3 linked regions of the Lytechinus pictus genome follow. The protein of the gene in region 1 interacts with the protein of each later gene in a biochemical or structural test. Links are inferred from orthologs where the notes say so. Each region holds a gene or a part of one and is shown on either strand. Other genes may lie near its edges.

Region 1 (3,757 bases):
CATTGGATTTAAAAAAAATAAAAACCAATCATTTTCATCTTGCCCTCAAAGGGAAGTTCACCCAACAAAAAAGCTGGTTTAAATAAAAGAGAAAAATTATACAAACATTATGTTGAAAATTTACATCACAGATATAGGCAAATGAGAAAGTTAATGATGTGACACACTACTTGTTTGGTATTTTGTTGTTTGAATTCAATATTTCTATTTTTGCATCATTTGAAAATAAAGAAACTCTATGTTTAAATGATTACAGGTTATAACAATAGCAATTCCATGTGTTGTGGGAGGAATCAAAGTAGGTTCATTTATATATAAAGAAGAAATTACATCTTTCAATACAGTTAAATTATAAATTTATACATAAAGATATGATGAATGTCATTTAAGTTTCCCTAATTTACATACCACCCACTGGCGCCCAGGATGTGCATATAACGATTTTGTGAAACTAATTACTAAAATGTCATCATTTTCGTATTCTATATTCCATCTATAACAATTTCATCATTATGCTTGTTTGATTTTTTCTCTATTTCATTCAAATCAACTTTTGTTGGGGTGTACTTTTTTAAACCTGCCTGTAGATATGGCAAAGGCTCCTTACTGTAAAGTAAGATATTCTTGTAATTTTCCACATTTCTATTCTTACAAGAACATTTTCATTGACTAGCTTCATGCAGTAAATGTATTAAAACTTAATAATTTTTAAGCCTAGCATTCACAATGCGATCCAAATTTCAAAGAAATTATAATAACATTTGATTAGAACATTCCAACCAATAAAATCTCATCAATCAGAGCTCAGAATATTTGTAGGAATAGCTAAAATCGAAATTCAGTCAAATTCAATTGACAAATCTTAATGACGTCATCATCGGCTGCAACTTGAAGCTGATTTAGACATTTCTCTGAACAAAGGGCTTGCCGCAAAGTATAATTATGATCTTATTATTCCTAACACTAGGCCGAACTTTAAATACAATACTTTTACTTCTTAGTACTTTCATATTTAATGCAAAACAAGGTTTAATATTAAAAAATTGCATCGTATCGGATTGCATAGTGTGCGCTGGGCTTTTAATAAACACATTAAGCACTCTTAAAAGTTTTTAAATGATATTCAACGCTTGTGATTGCACACTTAGCAAGCTACACAGATTCATGATAGTATTGCAACCAACCTGATGCCAAGATTGACTTTCACTCTTTGAGAGTGAAACTAACAACTCCTTTCTCTTAATCTACAAACCTTTAATGCTAGATTGCACTCTTTATCATCACAGACAGGCAACTCCTCATTTTGCTGCTGTCCAACCCCTCCATTTGTTAACTCATTGGACACGGGGTGGTTTCCATTAGAGGGGTCAGCAAACTCTTCATCTTCCTCGTGTGGAGGATGGGTAACTTGCTGCCTCGCACCGAAGACCACCCCTTCTGTTCCCTTGGCGATGATGGTTTTTGAAAGTGTATAACCGGCCAGCTTGGATGGGTAGTCTGGGATGTGATCATCTTCTGGTTTAATGCTGTTATTCTTGAAGATGGACTGCAAAATATCATAAAAACAATGACTTATCAATGTTACAAGACAAGATGCAAGACACATCCAGATAGATAGATGGATGGATGGACTGACAGACGGACAGACAGACAGATGATAGATAGATCAATGTTACAAGACAAGATGTAAGACACATCCAGATAGATAGATAGAAGATAGATAGATACATAGATAGACAGACACAGACAGATATATGATGTAGATACTACTAGGTGGATGGATAGATAGATAGATAGATAGATCAATCCCCTGGATCAGAAAATATTTTTTTAAACTCCTCCGAACAGCGGATTTTTCAGTCTAGGCCAAGGGATACACTACTTTGATTTCGTTAGGCACTTAACTGGAGTGAAAGCACACTATAGCACAGGGATCTGTACCTGCACAAGTTCTATTGCTGTATCGAGATCTATGCCATTCCTTGCAGTTGCAGCTCCGCCATGTCGAGAATTTTGGACTTGGTCTTGGTTGACAAATCCAATTCCTGCAAACCCAAGCAATAATGGCAACACTGGACGTCTTGATGATAATGGAACATTTCTAATTCCACTTGCAAGAGGAATCCGAGGCAACGAAGCCGGTGTCAATCTCCATACTTGCGCAGCCCTGTTTGCTAGATTCTGTGACTTCTTTGGACTTGCAACAACATTGGGTCTAGCACTGTAGTGTCGAGCGGGATCTGGAATCGCAACATCGGGCTTCTGTCGGCCTGCATGTCCGTGGGCGTGCTGCTGTGCTTGTTGCTGCACCCGTCGACGCACCACACGAATTATGGTTTGTAAGCCGTGTCGGAGCGACATTTTTCACAGATACTCCATACTTCTATCAGAGTTGGAATTTGGGATAGTTCAGAGAAGAATACTGGAACGCTATATTTTAACGACTCACATACTCGAGGTATTTTTACTTTAAAAGACAAAACTCCAGAAGAGCCGATGTTATTGCGTCGTTAAAGATTCGGTATACCATAGCCACAGAGTTGGATAAAGCTAACTGCATGGTCTAAATTACGAGTCTAATTTTTCATTTTCGATTACTGGGTTCATGGACATTCCCTCTCAAGACTTATGAAACATCAAAATAGTTTTGAATAAAATATCTTTGGGTTTAATTTTTGTTAAATTTTAATATATTAGTCATTACAATGTCTTTTATATTTTTCCTTCATATTCAAGAAAAATTTATTTCATCATCGAGACTTTGAAAAAAGAATAATATTCGGCACGGACAATGACGTAAGGATTATTTAGGGGAATTCCCGTAATGCTGTTCTTGTTTACTAAAAACAAAACGTTTGTACTTATTTACTTACTTACTTACTTGCTTACTTACTTACTTACGTACTTACTTACTTATTAGTCCAGTCAATCTAGCCAGAATAGGGGGGTAACCCACCACTAATTGCAACACGAGATATTCCACTGAAATGCTTTCGAGGAAGGTCCCCTAAACAACATACTAAAATTCCCAAGAAATCCAAGCAGTGGAAATGTATGAAATTTGTATATTATACAAATTAGCCATGAAAAATTAGAAAAAAAAGGGAAATAATCCAAAGATTACAAATTAAATGTCCAAAACAATTCAATTTGAATGGAAATTCATGATAAATAACTGAATTCAATGTTTTTAATCAAAAGTGCAAAAAATTCTACCTCATTTGCATATTATGCAAATAAGCATCCTTATATAGAAAAAATGTCAAGATATTATGATTTTTCTCATATAGACTGCTTGAAAACATTTAATTAATGTTGACATTGATATGCTACTATATCACTAAGCATGAGAATTCATCCCAATGCCTGAAAATTAATTTGCATATTATGCAAATTAGCCATTTAAAAATAGAAAATGAGGAAATTAATCCAAAGATTACAAATTGATTGTCCACAGCGAGTAATTTTGAACAAAAATTCATGATGAATAAATAAGTTCAATGTCTTTATTTAAAAAAGCTAGCAAATCTGCAAGTATCCTTATGTGGAAAATGTCAAGAAATTTTGAATTTTATCACATTGACTGCAGTGAAAACATTTAAGTTTTTCAAATTAATATTCTGCTATCACTAAGCATTCAAATCTATCCTAATATGATTTATATTCAAGGAAAAATACTGGAAATATGTTCTTCGCTTCCTAAGCCGCGTTGTTAGTCTGACAAGATGATGAGATTGGCAAGAACAAAGCACAATGT
Region 2 (3,757 bases), on another chromosome or scaffold:
TGATGTTCGTGCAGGCTCCACTACACTTCACTACCGCTACACTACGCTCCACCTACCCGAACTGTCAAACATCAAGGTCCAAAACTCGCTCTGATACTCCGAGTGGCAAAGGTGGGAAAAAATGCAGATTTATTGTAAAAATCCTACACCGAAACTAGCTTAAAAAGAATAAGAAGCTTAATTTCTTACTTTTCATCCTAATTTCACTCCATATCCATCCTCCGATTAGCCTCAAAATTGGTGATTTAGAGCCAACATCGCGTTCCTCAGACGTAGTAATAATTCGCTGCCGATTTAAAAACATCGCATATGCGAGAGGGTCTGAGCTCGGACCCTCGCATATGCGCATGCGATATTTTAAAATCGGCAGCAAATTATTTATGTACATGTGAGGAACTCGATATTGGCTATAAATCAACAATTTTGAGGCTAACCGGAGGATGGATATGGAGTGAAATTAGGATGAAAAGAAATGAAGCTTCTTATTCTTTTCTAGACAGCTGGCAGCTGTCTGTTTCGAGTTTTTTAACATTTAAAACAAAAATTATTTCTTCTCGTACACAGACGGCTCGCTATCGTGCAGCCATTATTAGGGGGTTAACAATGCAAAATCCCCCGATGGGGCTCATCGATTTTTGTCTTTATTTCATAAAAACATATGAAAAGAACTGTACCAAAAGAAAGTTTATTATTCCATTTTGGCCTGAAATGCACCAAAATTGGGAAAAATAAACTTGAAAGGGGGAAAAAAACAGTGACTTACTTCGGCTGTCGTGCGACTTCACTTCCCTGTTTTATCCGAACTTAATACGGTACATAAACATATATGGCCATTGAGTCCCTGTACAGATTGAGCTAGAACTTTGGTCTCTGTAAGACTGTATTTGGTTAGTGGAGCCAACAGAGCAGAGTTCAGCGGAACAGCCAACATAACAGAGACCGAAGCTTTTGGTCTAATTCTTTTCAGGCTAGTTTCTGTGTAGGATTTTTACAATAAATATGCATTTTTTCCCACCTTTGCCACTCGGAGTATCACACTCAGTCTCAGAGCGAGTTTTGGACCTTGATGTTCGAGTAGGTGTAACGTAGTGTAGCGGTAGTGAAGTGGAGCCTGCACGAACATCACTTGTGCCTGAGGTACGACCGTACGTGCAACATGCCATGACTTGACTAAAATGAGAATCGAGATCATATTCATAATCATTAATTAATGACAATGAATTTTGCCTTTTCAATGTTATCTTACAATTTTTGCATTGAAAGTTTCAATGCAAAAATTGTTTTAAAAATGTTAGATAACATTAAAAAGTTATAGCTAAAATTATGCCTTGCTTCTATTTGGCATAAGTATTCCAAGATTGGGGCCCAATATTCCCGTGCGAAATGTTATGTTGTAGACTGTCAGTACTGATTGCAAGCTTGGCCTCGCCTCGGGAGTTGGGCATGTCGCTCGCAACGTCGGCAGGGCCAGGGTCTAGGCCGCAGGTAACCCAGAGAGCTCCCGCCCGCACAGCGGGCGGGAGCCCAGAAGCTTACCGTGTATTTTACCATTGTCACCGGACTAGGGTGATTTATGGTCTAAATATTTCTCCAAATGAATTGTGAAAACAGAAAGTATACAATTACCATGATTATATGGATGAAGGTCTAACGAGTGGCAGATTCCTGACATCTGGGCACAGTCTGGAACCTCAAAAAAACGAAAAGTTCTCTCCTTCTACCCCGTCTCGATCGGCCATTTTTGTTAAAAATCGTAACAAAATGGCCGATCGAGACTGGGTAGAAGGAGAGAACTTTTCGTTTTTTTGAGGTTCCAGACTGTGCCCAGATGTCAGGAATCTGCCACTCGTTAGACCTTCATCCATATAATCGTGGTAATTGTATACTTTCCGTTTTCACAATTCATTTGGAGAAATATTTAGACCATAAATCACCCTAGTCCGGTGACAATGGTAAAATACACGGTAAGCTTCTGGGCTCCCGCCCGCTACGCGGGCGGGAGCTCTCTGGGTTAGGCCGCAGGATGAGGCGACTCCCACAATTGATTCCTGTAAGGCTGTAGGCTGTATAACAGGCTGCCGAATGGCCGATGATTCCATTTTGAAACATGCCAAAATTTAACATACCTCAGAGCATTACCAACGGCAGATGAAAGTTGTTCAAGTGTTTCTTCCTTTGTTTCTCCATCTCCAATGGCAATTTTATCGGTTCTTTCACCCAGTCTTATCCTTAATTTCATTATTTAATCCTGACTTCGGGCAGAGTCACGGGAGAGTCACAAGTACCGAACGCATATATAATATACAAAATGATATAATATACAAAATGATATGTTCTGCACATATAACTAACAAAGCCCACAAGTGTTTTCGCCTTGTTGTTGTTGTTGTTTAAAAAAAAAAAGAAACAAATTATTTTAATGTTTAACCCATCTGTAAGCACAGGTACACTAGCGCCCCCTCGTCTATGCATGGGTGACCTAGGCATTTATGTCCGAAAAATCGGCACAATGTACCGTGCTGACCGGTATGATTGCATCTTTGAAAGGGCAGGGCAAGCGCAACTAGTTGGAACTGAGCTGAAGATAGCGGTTTGTTTTTGGTGAAGATTTGTTTATATGCCATTTTGACAAGAGTTACGACAAACTTTTGTACATACCATAATTATCCTTTTTAATATTAAAAGGATACACAAGAATAATATTTCATATATGTATACATCATATTGGTAATAATATCATTATGTGAGAAGTGAGATTTTTTATTAATAGAGTCAATGGCGACAATAGTCAAATATGACTAATCGCCACTCAAACCAACATAAGAAGAAGAAGAACGCAGCTCAGTAAAGAAAAACAATACGGTGTCTTTAATTCGCAAACTCAATTTTAAAATATGTGGGCAAACAGGTGACAAGTTTATAGAAGCTTAAAAGTGCCACCAAAAGTGCCACCATATGACAAGATCTTGGATCTCGTCATGTCTACATCTTGTGCAAGAGATGATCAGATGGCAAAATCTCGGATCCAAGATCTTGCCATCTCTTCTAAAAGATGTAGACATGCTAGGCGACGGAAGCGGGGGGGGGGGGGACAAGGGGGACACGCCCCCTAAATTTCAGGAGGAGGGGACGGTCGATCCCCCCTAAAAAAAGAGAGAAAGAAAAAAAGGAAGGAAGAAAGAAAGAGAAGGAGGAAGAAAGGAAGAAAGAAAGGAAGAGGATAAAGATAGCAAGTAAACTGAACAGCTGAAACAAAGAAATATTAATACCTATATTTTTATAGCAAAAATGAAAGTTTTTACTATGGAAAATAAAAAAAAATCAGAAAACCTAGACAACCAACAAAACAGTTCTTTCGCACCATGTAGAAGAAAATATGTAAAAAAGAGAGAGAGAGAGGAGAAAACAAGATAAGAATAAAAAGAAATGTGAATGAAATAAGGGGAGGGGATAATTGGAAAATAAAAAAAAATATCGGGACATTACATAAAAAAGAAAATTTCGCTCAGACTTCGCGCTCACATTCCTTGTTAAGTGAAATGTAGTAATCTGCTCACTAGGATACCATGGAGCTTAGAATATGCCTATCCAATTTTAAAGTCAATTTGCACAAATTATTTTGCTTGCGAATCGAGTTTCCATTGCATTCTGTTCATGCTTACAAAAAGTACTGAATATCAAAATAAATTCATCTAGCGCTTCGCGCTAGCATTATTTGACAGGCAAATGTAACGAGATACGTATTCTCTTCATGTAT
Region 3 (3,757 bases), on another chromosome or scaffold:
AGAAGGGTATTTAATATAACACAGTTTTTCAGGATCTACTAAAATTGCCCATATAGGGAATAGACAAACTGTAGCGTTAAAAGAGTTTATAAGGCAAGAAGGTCACTTTCTCTGAAGATTTGTTTCTTCATTGAAGTGTTAGGATCTGTCGTTTTAACCAAGGCGATAACACGGCCATCACTTGTCCATGCCGCGTTTACATTTTTGTGTTGGCTTGTCTTCTTGAGGAGTTTGAGGGTTGTCAGTGTCAAATCTTCTTGAATAGAAATTCCACTCCCTTTCAATGTCTTTTTCGCTTTCATAAATTGCGTCTTCTGTTTGTAGGAACACAATTTATCGATGATGGGTTTAGCCTTGGTTGGATCTTTTTGACCTACTCGATGGGATCGATCGATGTGGTGTTTTTTCAACTTGAACCCAAGCTGATCCTTGGCAATGTCAATTGCTATTTGATCGGTATCTTCACCTATTTTCTCTTTCACACCAAAAATTATAATGCTGTTTCTCCTTGTATACTGCTCGAGAATATTCAATTGGCGCTCCACGTCTTCTCTTTTCTCGATTTCATTCTGTAGCTGTTTCTCCAGAATATATGTTTCTTTTTCTTTACTCTCCAAAGAATTTTGAAGTTGAATGTTGGCTGATTCATTTTCTTCTATGTGGCGACGCATGTTTTCACATTGAACATTCACTACTTTATCCATTGTTTCTTTACAGACAGTCTCCATTGTTTTCATTAATTCTTTTGTTTTGAGTAATTTAGTGAGAATTGTTTGAAGGTGATAATCATCATTAGGTGAATGTTCAGACATATCAATCGTTACAGTGTCATCAGCTATATCACATTCAGAATCATTTGGATTGGTATGTTTCACCTTTTTCTTGCTTTTAGGGGTGCACTTCACTCTGGCGCCATCCCCCTTACCCGCCATGATCGGACACCGAAGCGAACGTAAACCTTAGTCGGGAGCAATATACACACGGATATATGTGACGATCAAAAGTACATATGGGACTGAGAGAATATATATAATACGTTCAAACGCTGAGCGTTCGGCAATGCAGATTTGCTGTTTCTCCCTCTAGATCAGTCCAATTACGAAAATTTTGTGGCAATTACATCACGAAAACATAGGTGTTTACAATCACAATTAAGTCAAGTCATAAAAAATAGAAAAGAAATCAGTATCTTCTTGCAAATCTTGGTTTGGATGATAATAAAAATATTGACTGCCCTCCTTTCGGGGAACATCAAATATATTGCCCTTAAAAGACCCATATTGCCCTCGTCTAAAGACTTGGGCCAATATGATTCTTTTGCTGGCAATATATTTGATGTTCCCCTCAAGACCAGTCAATATTATATAATTATTGACTGAAAGATTTTGTGAAATAAGAAGAAATTCATGTTAAATCTGAACTCAAATTGTTAGGTGCGCAGACTTGGGGCCCACCCACCCACGGCTACATCTCAGCCGCCGACTACAGAATAATTGAAGGCACGGCGCATTCAACAAATAACATTAATTTACGAAAAATTAATACGAGGACTTACAGAATGAAGTCCTCAGGACTACGAAACTTACGAAACGATGTGAAGTCAATTCCTCATAATTTGATGAATATCCCTCAAAATGCGTCATTTAAGCGTTGATTTTTCTTCTCGTTGACAAAATACGAGAGCTACCTTTTTAGCTCTCAAATTTTTTGTCTAATGAGCGAAAGAGGGCACGCGATTTATCTTCATATCAAAGACACTACAATTAAAAGACTAGACACAGAAATTATCTTACACGTAAATCGATGCAAAGCGTTACGCGAAGTCGGCAAAGTGTTCAATCTTTTTACTGTAAAGACTTTGGTTGAACGTTAAATGACAAACGAACGGTAGCACTTGCGGGGCTTTGTTCAAGGTACATAGAATTTTCTATATTTTTTGTTTAATTTGTCATCGTTTTGAATATTTTCCAAAAAGTATTATCGTCAGCAAAAATACTTTCCAGGCGGAGATAAGCGATTTTGCTCTTTTTTGTGTCCTTTTTAAATTAAAAAAATATGTTAAAAATTGATAATGGAACGCTTTCTACCAGAAAAAGCCATGGTGAGTAGCGGAATGGGTTTCGGCTAACATCATTCACGTTATGAAGCGATGGTAACGACAACTCTAAAATCCACTACAAAAACACGTTGGTTGTGCGAGGTTCGTATAGCATACTAACCTCGCAATAGTGTGAGTGGGGCCCACCATCATACTAAATTACTATTGAGACCTCAATCTACCCCAGTCCCGTGGCTCCCTCGTTTTGCACGGTCGACTCCTGGGCTCCGGCACGCAAAGCGAGTCGGAGCTCCCTGGGTTACCCATGAAATAGCCTTGCACTATCCCTATAAAGAATTCAAAATAACCAAACTACCTTCTGAGAGATGATCAATAGCCTCGCTCTGCATCATTGTGTTTAGAGAGTCCAACAAACGAGTCTTTTCATCATCAATTGATCTGGCCGTCTCCCTCATTTTCTCAACACGAACTTCCAAAGCATCCAAAGTCTTTAACAGATATTCATTGGCCTGCTTGCCTCCTCCACCATCATGATCATCTGTAAAATTATTTGGAGAGGGAGGTATCATCTCATTTTGGGCCTTCTTCTCTTCAACCTCACGTCCACTGCCAGCGATACAGGCCATCGCGTTCCGCCCGATCCACCCCGATAAGGCGATAGCAGCCGCGGCTCAGAAACTATCAAACTCAGACGGGCTACGCTGGATTATCTGTCTGTACGCATGGAAAAGATCCTCCAATTACTACCAGAAAAGGATTCACAAATTTTATGACGAGAATTCCGCTGATTTCCTTATTAATAGTAGATGTCTTATGATTTTCGTCTCGAAACCGATTGAAGTCTGAAGTCCCTAATTTAGCCAGGTCCAGCAGTAGGCCGACTTCTCTTTCTTGCGTAATTGTTGGTGTTGTTGTTGTTGAATATGATGGCGCTCTTCAATCTTGATCTTTCCAGATTATATGCGCCAGTCGCATTAATTTGGTAAGTAGGACGTCGTCGTCAAAGAAAAATCAATGCGACGCATCTCGCATTGACTTTGTAGGTCCTACAAAATTACAATCCAATATAATATTCCAAAATACATAATTGTAAATAACGCGTGTAAGAAATGAGAAATGATTGCCCGTGAGCAAGGAATGTATTCGACATTGCTCTTCTATCATGTAATCAAATAAATGGAAATGCTATACGCATGATAATCATTATTAAACATAAGCGTATCTCTTTTTCATATTTTGAACAAAATAAAATATACGTTCAATAGTTTCAAAAACTTTGCACACCTCACAGAGGCCTGGTGAATATGGTTAATTTGAAACACATAATAGTTTAATTTGTACTTACTAACTCTAATATGATGAAGGAGAATTTCCTCTTTCCGAGAAAAACCTTGCCTGCTAAAAAACATTATCATATAGCGGCATTTTCAGAAGCATTCCAATCTGCTTGCTAGATACCTTTATAATAATTTATGTCAAGCGTAAGCATGTAATATCATTTATAGCGCTTGGTAAAACAATGTTTACAAAGAAGTTTTCGTAGCTCCTCTCTTGGTAAAGGCGGTCTTATCAACGGTCTCGTTGCGGTTAACATATATCACACTGCCGGAATCCACTCAAAATTTAAATAAAATTTCATTAAAGGAAAAGTCCACCCCAACAAAAAGTTGATTTGAATCAAAAGAGAAAAATCCAACA

Evidence for each region.
Region 2: the proteins of serine/threonine-protein kinase PINK1, mitochondrial-like (region 1) and F-box only protein 7-like form a complex in vitro, tested with the Homo sapiens proteins (2 studies listed by BioGRID, with this or other methods). The link is inferred for Lytechinus pictus from reciprocal best matches to the Homo sapiens genes PINK1 and FBXO7.
Region 3: the proteins of serine/threonine-protein kinase PINK1, mitochondrial-like (region 1) and BAG family molecular chaperone regulator 2-like form a complex in vitro, tested with the Homo sapiens proteins (2 studies listed by BioGRID). The link is inferred for Lytechinus pictus from reciprocal best matches to the Homo sapiens genes PINK1 and BAG2.

What each region holds. Positions count from the first base shown.
Region 1 is NC_087258.1:17,372,603-17,376,359, reverse strand, and holds the start of serine/threonine-protein kinase PINK1, mitochondrial-like, read right to left. Parts: upstream 2,734-3,757; 5' UTR 2,362-2,733; coding exon 1,942-2,361; intron 1,547-1,941; coding exon 1,253-1,546; intron 1-1,252. UniProt on the Homo sapiens protein: Serine/threonine-protein kinase which acts as a sensor of mitochondrial damage and protects against mitochondrial dysfunction during cellular stress.
Region 2 is NC_087247.1:58,833,101-58,836,857, forward strand, and holds the start of F-box only protein 7-like, read right to left. Parts: upstream 2,620-3,757; 5' UTR 2,240-2,619; coding exon 2,127-2,239; intron 1-2,126. UniProt on the Homo sapiens protein: Substrate recognition component of a SCF (SKP1-CUL1-F-box protein) E3 ubiquitin-protein ligase complex which mediates the ubiquitination and subsequent proteasomal degradation of target proteins and plays a role in several biological processes such as cell cycle, cell proliferation, or maintenance of chromosome stability.
Region 3 is NC_087261.1:47,930-51,686, reverse strand, and holds the start of BAG family molecular chaperone regulator 2-like, read right to left. Parts: upstream 2,985-3,757; 5' UTR 2,686-2,984; coding exon 2,415-2,685; intron 1-2,414. UniProt on the Homo sapiens protein: Co-chaperone for HSP70 and HSC70 chaperone proteins. Acts as a nucleotide-exchange factor (NEF) promoting the release of ADP from the HSP70 and HSC70 proteins thereby triggering client/substrate protein release.